Linked DNA regions of Bombyx mori. The protein of the gene in region 1 purifies or fractionates together with the protein of each later gene. This does not show direct contact. Links are inferred from orthologs where the notes say so. Each region holds a gene or a part of one and is shown in the gene's direction. Other genes may lie near its edges.

Region 1 (6,405 bases):
AAAAAAACTCCATTATTTTACAGGTATTCTTCCTGAGGATTTGAATCTATTCCTCGAAGGTGGTCTTCCAAAGAGGAAAAAACGATCAAAATGCACACTCGGTGTACTGGATCCCAAGCTAGGAGCAGCCATCAGCGAGGCCCTGGAAATTCAGTGCACGCATACAGGAGCAGTCCCGGAGATTTTGAGAGGTCTGTTATGACATATACAATGGATATTTTCAATATCATAGAGTTCTTCTTTCATTGTTAAATGAAAAATTGGTATTTAGATGGCTTTGTGGTAAATTTTTTTATTTATTTATTGCTTAGATAGGTGGACGAGCTCACAGCCCACCTGGTGTTAAGTGGTTACTGCAGCCCATAGACATCTACAACGTAAATGCGCCACCCACCTTGAGATATAAGTTCTAAGGTCTCAGTATAGTTACAACGGCTACCCCACCCTTCGAACTGAAACGCATTACTGCTTCACGGCGGAAATAGGCGGGGTGGTGGTACCTACCCGTGCGGACTCACAAGAGGTCTTACCACCAGTGAATCTATGTTTCTTTATCTCACTTTGGATCTTAATCGTATTTGGTGAGGTAATTAATGTCATTTGTCAGAATTAAGACGACAAATGTGAAAATACTAAGTTTTCTTTGTTCTTTAAACAGGCATACGTTATCACTTCCACTCGCTCATCAAAGGCCTTACCCTCAAAGCATGCAGTGTGGCACAGCTTGGTCTTGGCCACTCATACTCACGAGCTCGTGTCAAGTTCAATGTTCACCGAGTGGACAACATGATCATACAATCAATAGCCCTGCTCGATCAACTTGACAAAGATGTTAACACTTTCTCCATGAGAATAAGGTGAGGTTTTTTTTTTTATATTGCATAGATGGATAAACGAGCTCATAGCCCACCTGCATTTAAGTGGTTACTGGAGCCCATACACATCTACAACGTAAATGCGCCACCCACCTCGAGATATAAGTTCTAAGGTCTCAGTATAGTAACAACGGCAACCCCACCCTTCGAACCGAAACGCATTACTGCTTCACGGCGGAAATAGGCGGGGTGGTGGAACCTACCCGTGCGGACTCCCAAGAGTACAAAAATTAGTACCACTAGTACAAAAATATAAAATATTGTGAAAATGTTGTTACTAAATCTTGTAGACTTACTAATTTTGTACTGTTTCTAGAGAATGGTATTCCTATCACTTCCCGGAGCTTGTGTCAATTGTTCCTGAAAATCACCTGTACACAAAATGCGCCGAGTTCATAAAAGATAGGAAGACCCTGTGCGAAGAGTCATTAGAACCGCTCACTGAGATCCTGGGAGACTCCGAGAAGGCGCAGGCTATCATAGATGCCTCGAAAATGTCCATGGGAATGGATATTTCACCAGTTGACTTGATTAACATCCAAATGTTTGCTGGCAGAGTAGTAGCACTCAGCAATTATAGGTTAGTATAATGTTTATTTAAAATTTAAATAGATGCTTAATACTTTGTTTGTTGATTCATGATAGCATATATTTTAAAATCTTATAAGAGTATCATGTGGATAAAAATTTAAAAGAAATTAAAAAGTTACTTGTTCACTATTTTACTCTGTTATGCTATCAATAATTTAAATCTCCTCCTTCTCTTTGCATTGTGTTCCCCAGTGCTGAGGGTTGTGACCTTTACGAAACATTGTTGTTAGAACTATGTTCCTCCATTCTATCCTATCTGCGCAGTGGATAGCGATATTGATGCTGGAGTCCAATGTGGTCTTATTTGATTCGAAATTGTCATTTAATTTCAATCTTAAAAAGGACCTATTGAAAATCTGTTAACATCAAGAAATAACTAATAATTTCAATTAACATTGTGTCCCCACAGAAAACAGATTTCAGAATACCTGCATAGTAAGATGAACTCCGTAGCACCTAATTTGTCTACGTTGGTTGGAGATCAAGTTGGAGCCAGGCTGATCTCCAAGGCTGGCTCCCTGACCAACCTTGCCAAGTATCCCGCATCTACATTGCAGATATTGGGTAAGTTGGTCACATTTTTCAATTTACAAGTCTAGCTGATCATCAACATACAATTTTAAATATACACTGATAACCACAACATAGTATAAAACAAAGTCTGTCCCTATATCCCTATGTATGCTTAAATCTTTAAAACTACGCAACGGATTTTGATGCGTTTTTTCTTAATAGATAAAGTGATTGAAGAGGAAGGTTTATATGTATCATAACATCCATTAAATAGTGGAGAAATCAATAATAAATTACAGTTTCCGAAGCGAAGCGAGGGCGGGTCGCTAGTAATTATAATAAATACAATTTCTCTAATAACCATTACTAAGAATAAATAAGTATAAAATATCAAATATTGAAAATATCTCCAACATGATTTACATTTTTGTTGTATTTCCCCTATTGTAAGATAACAATTTTCTATACAAATGATTTTATTACAAAATTCAGGTGCAGAAAAAGCTCTCTTCCGAGCTCTGAAGACACGTTCGAATACTCCAAAATATGGTCTGCTATACCACTCCACGTTCATTGGACGTGCCGGACTGAAGAACAAAGGTCGGATCAGCAGATATCTGGCCAATAAGTGCTCAATTGCATCCAGGATCGATTGTTTCTCTGGTAATTAAATTTTTCTGACTAGAAAACTTAATTGTCATAAAAGTTTAAACAATGAACGATATTGTTTTACGTTTTTTTTTCTATTAACAGCTTTTCTTGAGCCTTACCACCAAGCCTTCACAAGCAACAAATTTATCTGAAAGATATCTAGGCACACTGTGATCTACCGTCAGTATTGTAAATAACTTGCGGTAATAAGGGTCGTGCTATATTAATTGCTATATCCAGTAACTGTCATAAGTAATTAATTATGGCAGTTTTTAAATGTTCGCTACATTGCCTTACTGAGATTTCATAAACTACCTATATAATTGTATAAAAAAAGGAAAATTTTAAAAATATGTACTTAGATAGATCGATAAAAAGTTAAAAAAGTTTATACATATTTCAATATCGACGCTTGAAAGGCAAACGACTAAGCGACAATAATTGCTTTGTACATAAACGATAGGCAATAACCATATTCGGTGTGCAAAAAATATATATATTTCTATTAAAATCATTTCAATCCTACAGCTAGATTCGTTAAAATAGAATTTTTTTCAGGTATTTCAACTTTAAATTAGCCTACTGTAAAGTTCACGCATTGTCGCTTAGTCACGTTTGCCTTTCAAGCGTCGATATGTATTCTTTATTAAATTCTCAGACAAAATTGTATTTTTTTTATGCGATATAGTAACAGCTCAAAAGCTGGTGGGACCTTTTTCCCATCCATAGAAGAATGATATACATATTTTATTTTGGAAAGACTCAAAATAACTCTTGAAATGTTACAGAAATGCAATCAGCTGTATTTGGTGAAAAACTCCGTCAGCAAGTAGAAGACCGTCTGAAATTCTATGAGACCGGTGATATTCCCAAAAAGAATATTGAAGTGATGAAGGAAGCTATGGACGAAGTTCAGAAGGCTGTTGACGCCGAGGCCAGTGCCAAGAAGAAAAAGAAAAAGAAGAAGAAGAAGTCCGAATTAGACGAGAGTGTGGCCATGGACGAAGATTAGTCGAATAATGTAGAATTTAATTACTATTGGTGTTAAGATATTGTACCTTTAAAAATAAAGTATTTCAGACGGTTTTATGGACCAACAAAACTGCTATCTTGGAGTTATTTCTTTTAACCCTACTTTTAATCAAATACTAAGCGTCGCCCGATGCATCTGTCAATTCCACTTTTAATTTAAGAATTCAATTTGTTATGGCGCATTACCTTGGCCTGTATAAAACATACATAGAGTAAGAATGAGAAATGTCAAAACGAAAGATAGAACCATAGATTATACACTTGATAGAACGTAATACCCACCATATTTTTTAACGTAAAATAGATTAAATACTTAGTACTATACAAACGATGTTTTTTTTTAACAAATCTACATATACTATCTGGCCAATGCTCATTTGTTTTGTGGAATTAGAATCGAGTATCGAGTGATGCGAAAAAAAGTAAAAATAATTATTACCTAATTCGTATCGAGATACAATATGTACCACGAATTCAGTTAAAGAAAATTTAACCGAAGTAGAGATTCGTGAAATAACACTATACTTTGTGCATTATTTTATTTAAAAAGATTATAAATTTTAAACAATTTAGTACTGCACTTTTCTGTATTAGAGATGCGACCATATATTGGGATAAAATAAATCTATAATTAAATAAGATCTAAATATCACAAGTGGAGTCCTCAGAAAGCATACGAGCAGTAATTATTTCATAACATAGCCTTGTATAAAACACAGTTGACTTCGAACTCATGTCTACAACGTCGACATCTATAAGTTCCCTCGACTTGTAGTTTGTGAGTTTGTCTACCCATTAAACTTTATTAAAAACAGAATGGTACATTTAAAAAAACAAATTTAATATTGTTTACTTATCTATTTTAATAAAACTGTTTCCTTTATTTTTTTAAGGGATTTTATGACCTGGTAACTGAGATCTTTAAGTCAAGTCTTCTTTTAATTTATATTCTCAATTTTATGAAAAATGATATTATGGGATGAAATGAAATGAAGATGATTAATTTGAGACATTAATCAACTGGGATGAAATTAAATGAAATGATATGGGATGAAATATAAACTCAGTAAAATGGTGGTCATTTACTAAGATTTTTTCAGTGGACTTTTTGTAGGATCCCGAGAAGTTACGTCCAGCGGCTTTGTTTCATTTTCCCACATTTGTGCACTTTCACACATATTAAACAGTTAATAAACCACCATTATTACACATTTAAACCCGAAGAAACACTAAATAGACAAAATAAAACAAATCACACAACTTCACTCCTCGCGTTCCCGCCAAAAAGTCCCCTGTTTGCTTTAAATGTCATTTGATACATAGATTATATTTCTGTTGCTTACCCTTTTTAAATCTCTTTAGTTAATCTGTATTGGTGAACTTGAAGAAAACTTTTTAATAAAGAGTCTTTATGTTCTTTGTAAATGTAATTTTAAAATGTTTTCTTTGCCCTCAAATATCAGTGCATATTAGGGAATTAGAAGCTCGTTTGAAATAAAACCAGGCAATGTATTTAATTACAATTCGGATTTATTGTTGTATAGTTTTGTCGACGCACTTGAGGCTGCAGTTGACGTGCAACGCCGCGAGTTGCGTCGCGAACAGCTTGTAGACGTGCGGCGCCCGCACCGCGCCCGCCCGCCCCCCGCACGCGCACGCGCCGCCCCCCCGCGCGCCCGCCACGCTGCCGCACGACGTGCACACCGCCATCTGGCGCCGCACACACACACACGCTTAGTACTGACGCTAACACGTCGCATTACAGCACAACTCAAGTACATACTGAGATTAAAACACGCTACACACAAAAAAATATAATTTGCGTAATTACTGGTGGTAGGACCTCTTGTGAGTCCGTGCGGGTAGGTACCACCGGCTAACCTATTTTTGCCGTGAAGCAGTAATGCGTTTCGGTTTGAAGGGTGGGGCAGCCGTTGTGACTATACTGAGACCTTAGAACTATATCTCAAGGTGGGTGGCGCATTTACGTTATAGATGTCTATGGGCTCCGGTAACCACTTAACACCAGGTGGGCTGTGAGCTCGTTCACACAGCCAAACAATAAAAAAAACCCAGCATAGGTAGGAAAAAAAAATCCTACAATCTACGGTATCGTTTTAGAAAGTCATATTTCTTTAAAGGTTAAATTAAAAGTTAAGGTAAAGTAAAGTTAGGTCGGTGAGGTATCGATATGAAGAGCAAGCAGTACGTCACCGACCTCTGTCTCGTCGGAGCAGCGCAGCAGGCGGTCCTGCAGCAGGAAGGCGGCGCCGTGCGACACCAGCGCGTCCCGCTCCATCTCCCCCAGCCGCACGCCGCCCCCGCGCCGCCGCCCCTTCACCGGCTGCCGGGTCAGCGCGTCCACGGGCCCGGTGGTGCGGACCTGTACACACACACCGCCGTATAACAGCCGCCCCACCCTTCAAACCGGGATGTTGTTCCCGACGGCACTAGACGGTCTCTCCATAGAGATTTGTCTCTGACCTTCTTCTTGCTTCGGTTTCCTCAATACCGAGGGTCGTGACCTCCTCGCAACAAGAGTTTATTCCGGACCATTCCACGCTATTTGCCTCTATCTGCCGCCGAGTGTAGAGCATCGTGAACTGTGATGTCGAGGGTAGTGCAGCTCTGGTCAGTCCAACGTATCGAACGTTTCGGGCCTCTACCGACCACACACCACCAATATAGTAAAAGAAGGGATTCTAAATAAAGCTTTTTTTTTTTGGTTTTTTGAAGTGAAACT
Region 2 (8,308 bases), on another chromosome or scaffold:
ATGTTTAAAAATTGATGCAGTTTCAGTATCTCCTTCACGGTTAAGCTCTTCAAGAGTGAACAGTCCCTGTAATGTACTGGTGGTTAAAAAATTCTTTTGATTTGGGTCCACAAAAATTTTATTACTCAAGAAATGTTTGAATATCTGCCTCTGATAAATCTTTTCCTCTATAGTCCCAGCTGACAACAATCTATAAACTGTTACATTTCTAGACTGGCCTATCCTCCATGCTCTTTCCTTTGCTTGATCATCTGTTGCAGGATTCCAATCAGGATCATATATTATCACTCTGTCGGCTCCAGTTAAATTTACACCTAAGCCACCTACTCTAGTTGTGGAAAGAAAAACTAAATAATCAGTGTTATCATTAAAAGTTTTAATCAAGTTTTGCCTTTGGCCAACATTAACTGTACCATCCATTTTGAGGTATGTAAAGCCTTGATTTTGTAAATACTGTTCTAACAGACACAGCATTACTCTTGACTGAGAGAATATGAGAGCTCTATGTCCCTGTTTTTTCCATATTTTAAGTAATGAATTAACAACAGTCATTTTTCCAGATCTCTTCCAATGGCCAAATATCTCTTCATCTATCTGTTCTTCATCTTCTTGAGCTTCGTAGAGATAAATATCAGGATGATTGCATATTTTCCTTAGCGTTGACAGAGCCACTAGTAGCCTCGCTCTTAATGGATTTCCAAATTTATTTTCTTTGTCTAAGATGCTTCTCACTGTATTACTCATAAGGTAACCCATATAAAGATCTCTTTGCTCTTGTGTTAAAGAACAGAATAGAACTTGTTCATTCTTTTCTGGGAGTTTGATATGTCCTTGTACCTCAGCCTTAGTTCTCCTCAGCATGTAAGGAGTGATCATATTTTTCAAAGCAATAGCTATTTCCATGGCAGTAGCTTCCTGTATTTCAGTAGCATTAGCATAGCCTCCTTGAGTGATTGGAACTGCAAAGTGTTCTATGAATGCATTGTATGTCCCCAACAAACCTGGCCTCATAAAATCAAATAATGACCACAGTTCCTGCAAACTGTTCTGCATTGGTGAGCCTGTTATTAACAATCTGTGTGGTGTCTGGATTTTTTTTACAATTTTACTTACTTGTGTATCAGGATTACGTATTTTGTGTCCTTCATCCAAAATTAAATAATGCCAACTATAAGCATTAAGTTCTTTATGATACTTTACTATGCCTGCATATGTTACTAACAAGATTCCATGAGCACTGTGTATATCCCTTAATAGTTTATGGTGATTACCAGCATGAGAGCCAGTGTGATGCAGTACAGCTACTCTGAGCAGGGGGCACCAATAATGAAAATGAGATACCCATTGATATATAACTGTTGCAGGTGTGATAATGATACTCGGACCAAGACCACCCCATGATCCTAAATTGGTTTTTGAAAGGGCAGTTAGGAATGCAATGACTTGTATTGTTTTACCAAGTCCCATTTCATCACCTAACAATCCACCAGAATCCACTTGATGCAACTCCCAAAGCCATTTAACACCAGTTCTTTGAAATTTATATAACTGTTTCCAAATATATTTTGGTACTAATAGACCATTCTGGAGTTCATGCATTTCATCGCTATCTTTATTACCATCCAGGATGTACTGTATGTCAGCGGTTAACGTGCATCCTTCATATGTACCGCTTTTCACAGTATTTAATCCTTCACGCCAAACCTCTACCCTTAAATTGTATTGTTTAATATCACCGTCGTCAACAATTCGGTTTATATTCTGTTTGGTACGAGAAGAACACGCAGTAAGCGGAAAATTATGGATACTGTCGTCTTCCTCATCGGAAGGTACAAAATCGATGTCATCGAGGTGTCCTTCAGTTGAAGTCCCTGATGTCACAGTAGTTTTTACATCTACTTTTTGATTGTGGGGAAATTTTGACAGAGTCTTTGCCTGTTTTTGCGATATGTAATCAGCAGCAGATTTGCTTTTAGTTGATACATCTTCTTTCTGACTATTTTTCCTCTCAATTTGCTTTTTCGCTAATTCAAGTTGCATTTCTAAATATTTGTTTATGTCCACCATTTGGGTTAGTTTTAGTTCTTGACATTGAAATTCAGTTTATTTAGGTAATGTATTTATTGCTTTTTGTACACAATAATAAACTAAACTCAAATATTAAGTGTTTAATCTTTAATTTAACAAGTTAATCTTACTTAATCTTAAGTTAACAAATCCTACGAGCATTAGAATAATTAAAACATTTATTTTAATTGAAAATGTCAGTTAAGCGATATTTTTCTTTTTTTAGAGTTTATAATGCTACGCTAGTTACGCTACAATTTAAGTGTATAATCTATGGCTACAATCATAGAGCTAGAGTTGAACTTATTAACTCCATGGCTAATATGGCTATAGTACGGTATTCCTTCCTACTCTGCGTCAAGTCGGCTCTACACTCGCGGCGCGAACGCGACAACTGCGAATTCACGAGTGTAGATGTTGTTCACGCCTTCTCGTTCGCGCGTCGCTCCCCGATCTGTGTCGGTTTTATGGCCCGCGACAAAGGGTTTGCGGCACGCGAACGTGAATGTATCCACACTCGCAGCTTACCGCAGTAGCGTACAGGACATCGTAGAGTGGTTATGCGTGCGTTGGTGATTGATCCTAATATAAATGGTGGAATAATGATCTGGAACTGACTCTCATTTATTGCCATAAACCTAAGCCGAAACATCAAGACCACAAAAATGAGAATAAGGTTCATGATGCCTGGACACGCATAAGTGCTATCTTAAATACACCTGTAACTGAGTCAGAGTTAAAGAAAAATAAAGAATCACTTAAGTCGAGCTATAGATTGTATAGAAAGAAAGTGAAGTGTATGTAGAATACACAGCAGCAGCAGAAATCACGTCGTCGTCGATCATAATCGCGAACAAGGCTGAGCTGTGAAGCTTTGTGAGTGTGGAGGGACACAGTTCTGGCGCAGATCATGGTGTTTCTTCACAGTGCGACGTCATACGCGAGTGTTGAGGCAGAGTTACAGATTATTAAAAAGTTACTATGTAACGTTTATGTTTATGTCTTATCTATCATTAAACCTTGGTAGAGGGCTATGCATAATACATTTCGTTTATACTTTATATCACTATACCTGTTCCTGTTTGGACATGCTCCATAATCTTCATTTATTAACTCGCTGGTGATACAAAGGGAACGAAGCCCCTACACCTTTTAGTTACTGTACAGTACAGTGATGCGCGGTAATAGAACTGAATACATAAATATTTATAGATTATAAAATAAAAATGAACTTGAGTTCCATCGTTTCAATATATATGTATGTACATAAAAATTCTAAAATAATTATTCTACGTGCATAGATTATCTACTACAATAAGCTACCAATATGATGACATGTGTTAAATATTTATTATCTATGCCAGAGTTCAAAACGTGGTTGCCCAGAAAACTACGAAATCATAAATATATGTAATTAAATTGTAAAAAAAAAATACATTTTGAGGTTATTTTTCAACAAAAGTAAAGCAAGGAAAATATTAGCTCAAGTCAAATAAGCTTGTTAATTCTAATGTGTAAAAAGGAAGTGTTCTGATAACAATGGATATTGTAAATGAGATATTAGAAAGGGAACAAAAGAAAGCAGATAAATATAAACCAATAACGGTCGAAAAACATTTGGAATTAGAATTCGACCTAGGTTCACTATTGGCCTCTGACACAAACGATTTGGACATAAAAACGCTGAAGTAAGTCTTCATCTTATCTCATTTTAGCAAACGCATAGTCACTATTAATTTCAGGATTAAACATAAATTTAGTTAACAGCACATGTTTTGTTATCAAATTAAATTGATTTTATGTGTTGTTTAGGACAAACAAAGATTCATATTTACTTGCATTGACCCGTGACAATGCTCAGCTACTACTGAATAAAGTATGGGAGCTTCCCACTGAAAGAATCGAAGAGGCCATAGTAGTTCGATTGCCACAACCTACGACAATCCTACCCCGAGCCAAGCCAGTGCCTGTACCTAAGCCATTAACTAAATGGCAAGAGTTCGCAAAAGCCAAGGGTATTAATAAGAAAAAGAAAGACAAACTTCAATGGGATGAACAGCTGCAGAAATGGGTTCCTTTATATGGGTGAGTTTTCAATAGTAGAATAATGAAAGTTGTCTAGAAAACTATAAACACAAACCATAAAAACCTTATTTACAAAAGTTTTTAGGCAGAAATTAAAAATTGATATCATCATTTTAAAATCTGTATTTTATAGTCAAACCAATAGCCAGGATGTTGTAAAACACATTGTCCGTTTATTATTGTCGGCAATCAACTATATCTATAATTGACTATATAATTCTGTATCATCAGTTTCAAGAAAACTGCAGCTGAAAAAGAGAAGAACTGGCTTATAGAAGTCCCACAGAATTTAGATCCTATGACAGATATGTATGAAAAGAAAGCCGGTGAAAAATCAGAAAAGGTTGCAAAGAATGAATTACAGAGACTTAAGAATCTCGCTAGAGCCAAAAAGGTTAAAATACCAAGGGTGGGGCTTCCTGTCACTTCAGATAAAGCTTCTGCCACACAGGTAGGATCAAGTAGAAAAATATATATTGTACTGAATTATAATTTTTCCTTTTTCAGTTTCAAATTAGACATCTTATACAATGATAATAGTATACTTTAATAAATACATGTCTAATTCAATGAAAGGACAATTTTCCTTTTTCTATTCTAGATGATCTCAAAGTAGCATACCTGATCTTTCTTACAGCCAAGCAGCATTTGCTGTTTGTAATTAAGTTAGAATTAGATATACTACAACTTTTTAACTGTTGCAATTTTATTGCTAAACTATTACATTCATCTTGTTTTGCTTATCCATTACATTATTGTTTAAAGATAATAATTTAAATGATTTTATAAATATATGAATGCATAAATCTACAATTATTTTTCATAATTTTCCAGTTATCCACAGCAGCAAGTGTAGCAAAAGCATCAACGGCTTCTCTTGGAAAATTCCAAGATAAATTACCCAAAGAGAAAGAAGCACGCGGTAAAGGTGTACATGAGCTAATCCCAGGCAAGGAGAGGAAACGTAAAGCACCTATACCAACACCGGCAGCAGAAAAAGAATACAACCTGAATCTACTTGATAATATACTGAGTAAGAGGCCAAAAATTGATATGGATAAAGCTGTAGCGAAAAGTATAAATGAAGAGGAAGTCAAGTAAGTAAATTATTTTTATTTTATTGTAAATTTGAAAATGATATAATCAGAATTTTTTTTTTAAAGTTTTTATTTTATTACTTCGAAGTAAATGAGCTGATTTCTATTGTTTGTATTATCATTAGGAGATCACACGAAAAGAAAAATATGAAACCCGGCTTAGGAAAACGTAAAACTCAAGGTAAAGGCAATGCAACAAATTTCTCAGCCAAGAAACCTAAAGCAGGAAAGGGAAAAAGGGCACCAAATAAGAAATCTACTGGACGGAAAAGGAGATAGAACTATGATATAAGCCTTACAGAATGTATTACTAATAAAAACTAAAATACTGACACTTGTTTTTTTGTTTTCCTTAACTATTAATAAAACCCTTAAAAATGAGGCGTTCATTGTTTTAAATCGAAAAATATGTTTGGTTTTGAACGTAACAAGAGTGAAGTCGTCGTGGCCTAAAAGAACAAGGTGTCTCCAATACTCTCGTATCGAGTGATTCTCGTCGAAACTGTCGCTTGCGGCGCAGGGCTAGGCGAGTAAATTAACCCACAGACACAAGTCACAGAGTTTCTCGTCGGATCTTTTCGCGTCGCGGGTCGTTTCCGGGTCGCGTTTCCGATCCGGCGGTAGGTTCTGCGAAGCACTGTTCTGCACTGAGTGATGCGACTATGCCAGTGTTCGAGTCCCGCAGGCATGTACAAATTTTTCTGATGAAATAGTTACGTACTAACCTAACAAATGTTCATGAATGCTTCACGATGAAGGAATATCATCGTGTAATAAAAATGAAACCAGTTTGTGTAATTACTGGTGTGAGGCCGTCTTGTAAGCCCGCACGGGTAGGTATCACCATCCTACCTTGGTTTGGAAGGTAGGGTAGCCGTTGTACTTAAAAATTGAGACTTCGAATACATGTCCAAGGTGGGTGACCGCATTTACATGCGTAATGTCTATGAGCTCCGGTGACCACTTAACACCGGGTGGGCCGTGAGTCCATCCATCCAACTTAGCAATAAAAGAAATTAAAAAAAAGCCAATTTCGAGGTATCTACTATACTAATATTATAAAGCTGAAGAGTTTGTTTGTTTGTTTGAACGCGCTAATCTCAGGAACTACTAGTCCGATTTGATAAATTATTTCAGTGTCAGATAGCCCATTTATTGAGGAAGGCTATAGGCTATACGCTAAGACCAATACAAACGGAATACCAATAAAGAATGTTTCTAAATCGTTTTTTTCTTTCTACGTAAATGAAGTCGCAGGTAAAATTTCGATGCCTCCAATGAACACTACGCTAACTCTAAATTCATAGATTTACAGGAGGAGCGTTTAAACGAAAAAAGTCGATAAAATCTTTATTATTGCAGATATATTTATGGTTTTTTTGTGTAACTAGCTGATTTACTCTTGCTTCGAACCCCATCAATAATGATTAATTGTAATACTTTTAAAATAGTGAAGCGATTTGCGTGAAAAACGAAAATTTCAAAATTTTCAGTTAGAGTAGTGTTCATTGGAGGCATCGAATTTTAGCGTTGTGGCAAAGTAACTATTCCACGCGGACGAAGTCGCGGACAAAAGCTAGTTTGGTATGAAATTCATTAATATAGAAAGAGTCAGGATATTGTTTTTATTTCTCTAGACAGTTTCGAAGACTATCCGACTTAGTTTTAGGCCAATACTGGAGCCCGCACTCTACACAACTTCAACTATCGGTCTTGAGCCGTAAATCCGTAATTCAATCTGTCATCTACATTACTTTACTGGCATGTAACTAAATTTAATTATAATCTAACAAAGACAGCACCTCCAAAATTACCTTGTTTGGCCAACCATACACATTTAATAAAATAAAAGTCTGTATTTTTTCTATTGCTTTAATTACATTTGTTTCTATGGAATTTGACTAGACACTAACGAAGAATTAAAAATCTTCACAATCAACATTTAGAAGGAGAAGGTAAAATTTGTAATACTGTAAATCAGTTTATAACCTACATAATTCGTCGTTAAGCGTACCTACTTATCTACATCAAATTCTAATTATAATAAAGTTTATTAATGGAAGCTTCTAATGTTTAGCTACTTACTACAAACCCGTGTTTTCAAATCTTTTGGACAGTCATAATAAACTATAACATAACTCATAATAAAAATGGAATCGCGTAATTAGTCTACCGGTCTTAGCGGTTCATAGAGGTTCATAGAGTTCACAGATTAAGGTTATGAAGGTACATACAGACAACTTCGTAGTTTCTTTTTCTCAAAAGTAAATTGTCAATTCCCCAACTTGATTAAGTTACATTTAATTTACCAGCTGCTGGTAAGACATTGGTTCAGAGCCCGCCAGATTTATTGTTAGTGCCCTGTCTGTTTCTACCGAAAACCAATCATGTATTCATGAAAAGCGTCATGAGGTCAATGCAAATAGGGAATTGTCACGGAATCTTAGTTCTATTGAACAAAAAAAGTCGGACTTAGCAACACAAATACGTAGCTTGTATTGGATCCTGCAGAAATGTAGATGATCTTTCAAACTGTCTGTACCTACTTCTGATTTTTCTCGACTTTATTTTGTTGATGAAAATTCATCTCTATTAAACCCTATTAATAAACATGTCCAAAATATTTAAAAACATTATAATATTATAAATTTGTACAATAATTTCTATATGTAATAACTAGTATTGCTATTCTTTTCACTACAACTATTTTCACTATAGATAAGCGATCGTCACAAAATAGGATTTTTGTTTATAACTATGATAATAATTTATATTAAAATGTTATAGAATTAACTAGTTTCGATTAGATCAGAATCGGTAAATAAGAAGGCAGCACTATTTAGCATGCATCGGTTTAATGTAAAACACTAATTTAAAAAAATTGGTCAATTTTTTTTTTATTTTTATTAGACGCTAATATGTAACTTTACATAGTGTTTTGGGATGTTGGCAGGGGTTATGGCAATGGCAGGACGACTAAGCGAGCGTCGCTAGGGTGTCGGTAGATGTCACTAAGCGACTAAAGTCTCCCTAAATATTATAGGTTTTAAATATACATT

What was found. Proteins that work in one complex are often made in the same cells at the same time.
Region 2: the proteins of nucleolar protein 56 (region 1) and ribosome biogenesis regulatory protein homolog purify together in Homo sapiens (co-immunoprecipitation; 3 studies listed by BioGRID and IntAct, with this or other methods). This does not show direct contact. The link is inferred for Bombyx mori from reciprocal best matches to the Homo sapiens genes NOP56 and RRS1.

Annotation. Positions count from the first base shown.
Region 1 is NC_085132.1:2,378,076-2,384,480, reverse strand, and holds the end of nucleolar protein 56, read left to right. Parts: intron 1-23; coding exon 24-191; intron 192-658; coding exon 659-857; intron 858-1,191; coding exon 1,192-1,455; intron 1,456-1,875; coding exon 1,876-2,030; intron 2,031-2,471; coding exon 2,472-2,642; intron 2,643-3,418; coding exon 3,419-3,642; 3' UTR 3,643-3,738; downstream 3,739-6,405. Other genes in the region: DNA-directed RNA polymerase I subunit RPA2, read right to left, coding at 5,193-5,372, 5,881-6,045. UniProt on the Homo sapiens protein: Involved in the early to middle stages of 60S ribosomal subunit biogenesis. Required for the biogenesis of box C/D snoRNAs such U3, U8 and U14 snoRNAs. Part of the small subunit (SSU) processome, first precursor of the small eukaryotic ribosomal subunit.
Region 2 is NC_085123.1:3,057,113-3,065,420, forward strand, and holds ribosome biogenesis regulatory protein homolog, read left to right. Parts: upstream 1-3,202; 5' UTR 3,203-3,606; coding exon 3,607-3,755; intron 3,756-3,879; coding exon 3,880-4,152; intron 4,153-4,383; coding exon 4,384-4,603; intron 4,604-4,986; coding exon 4,987-5,249; intron 5,250-5,374; coding exon 5,375-5,528; 3' UTR 5,529-5,581; downstream 5,582-8,308. Other genes in the region: DNA excision repair protein ERCC-6, read right to left, coding at 1-2,067. UniProt on the Homo sapiens protein: Involved in ribosomal large subunit assembly. May regulate the localization of the 5S RNP/5S ribonucleoprotein particle to the nucleolus.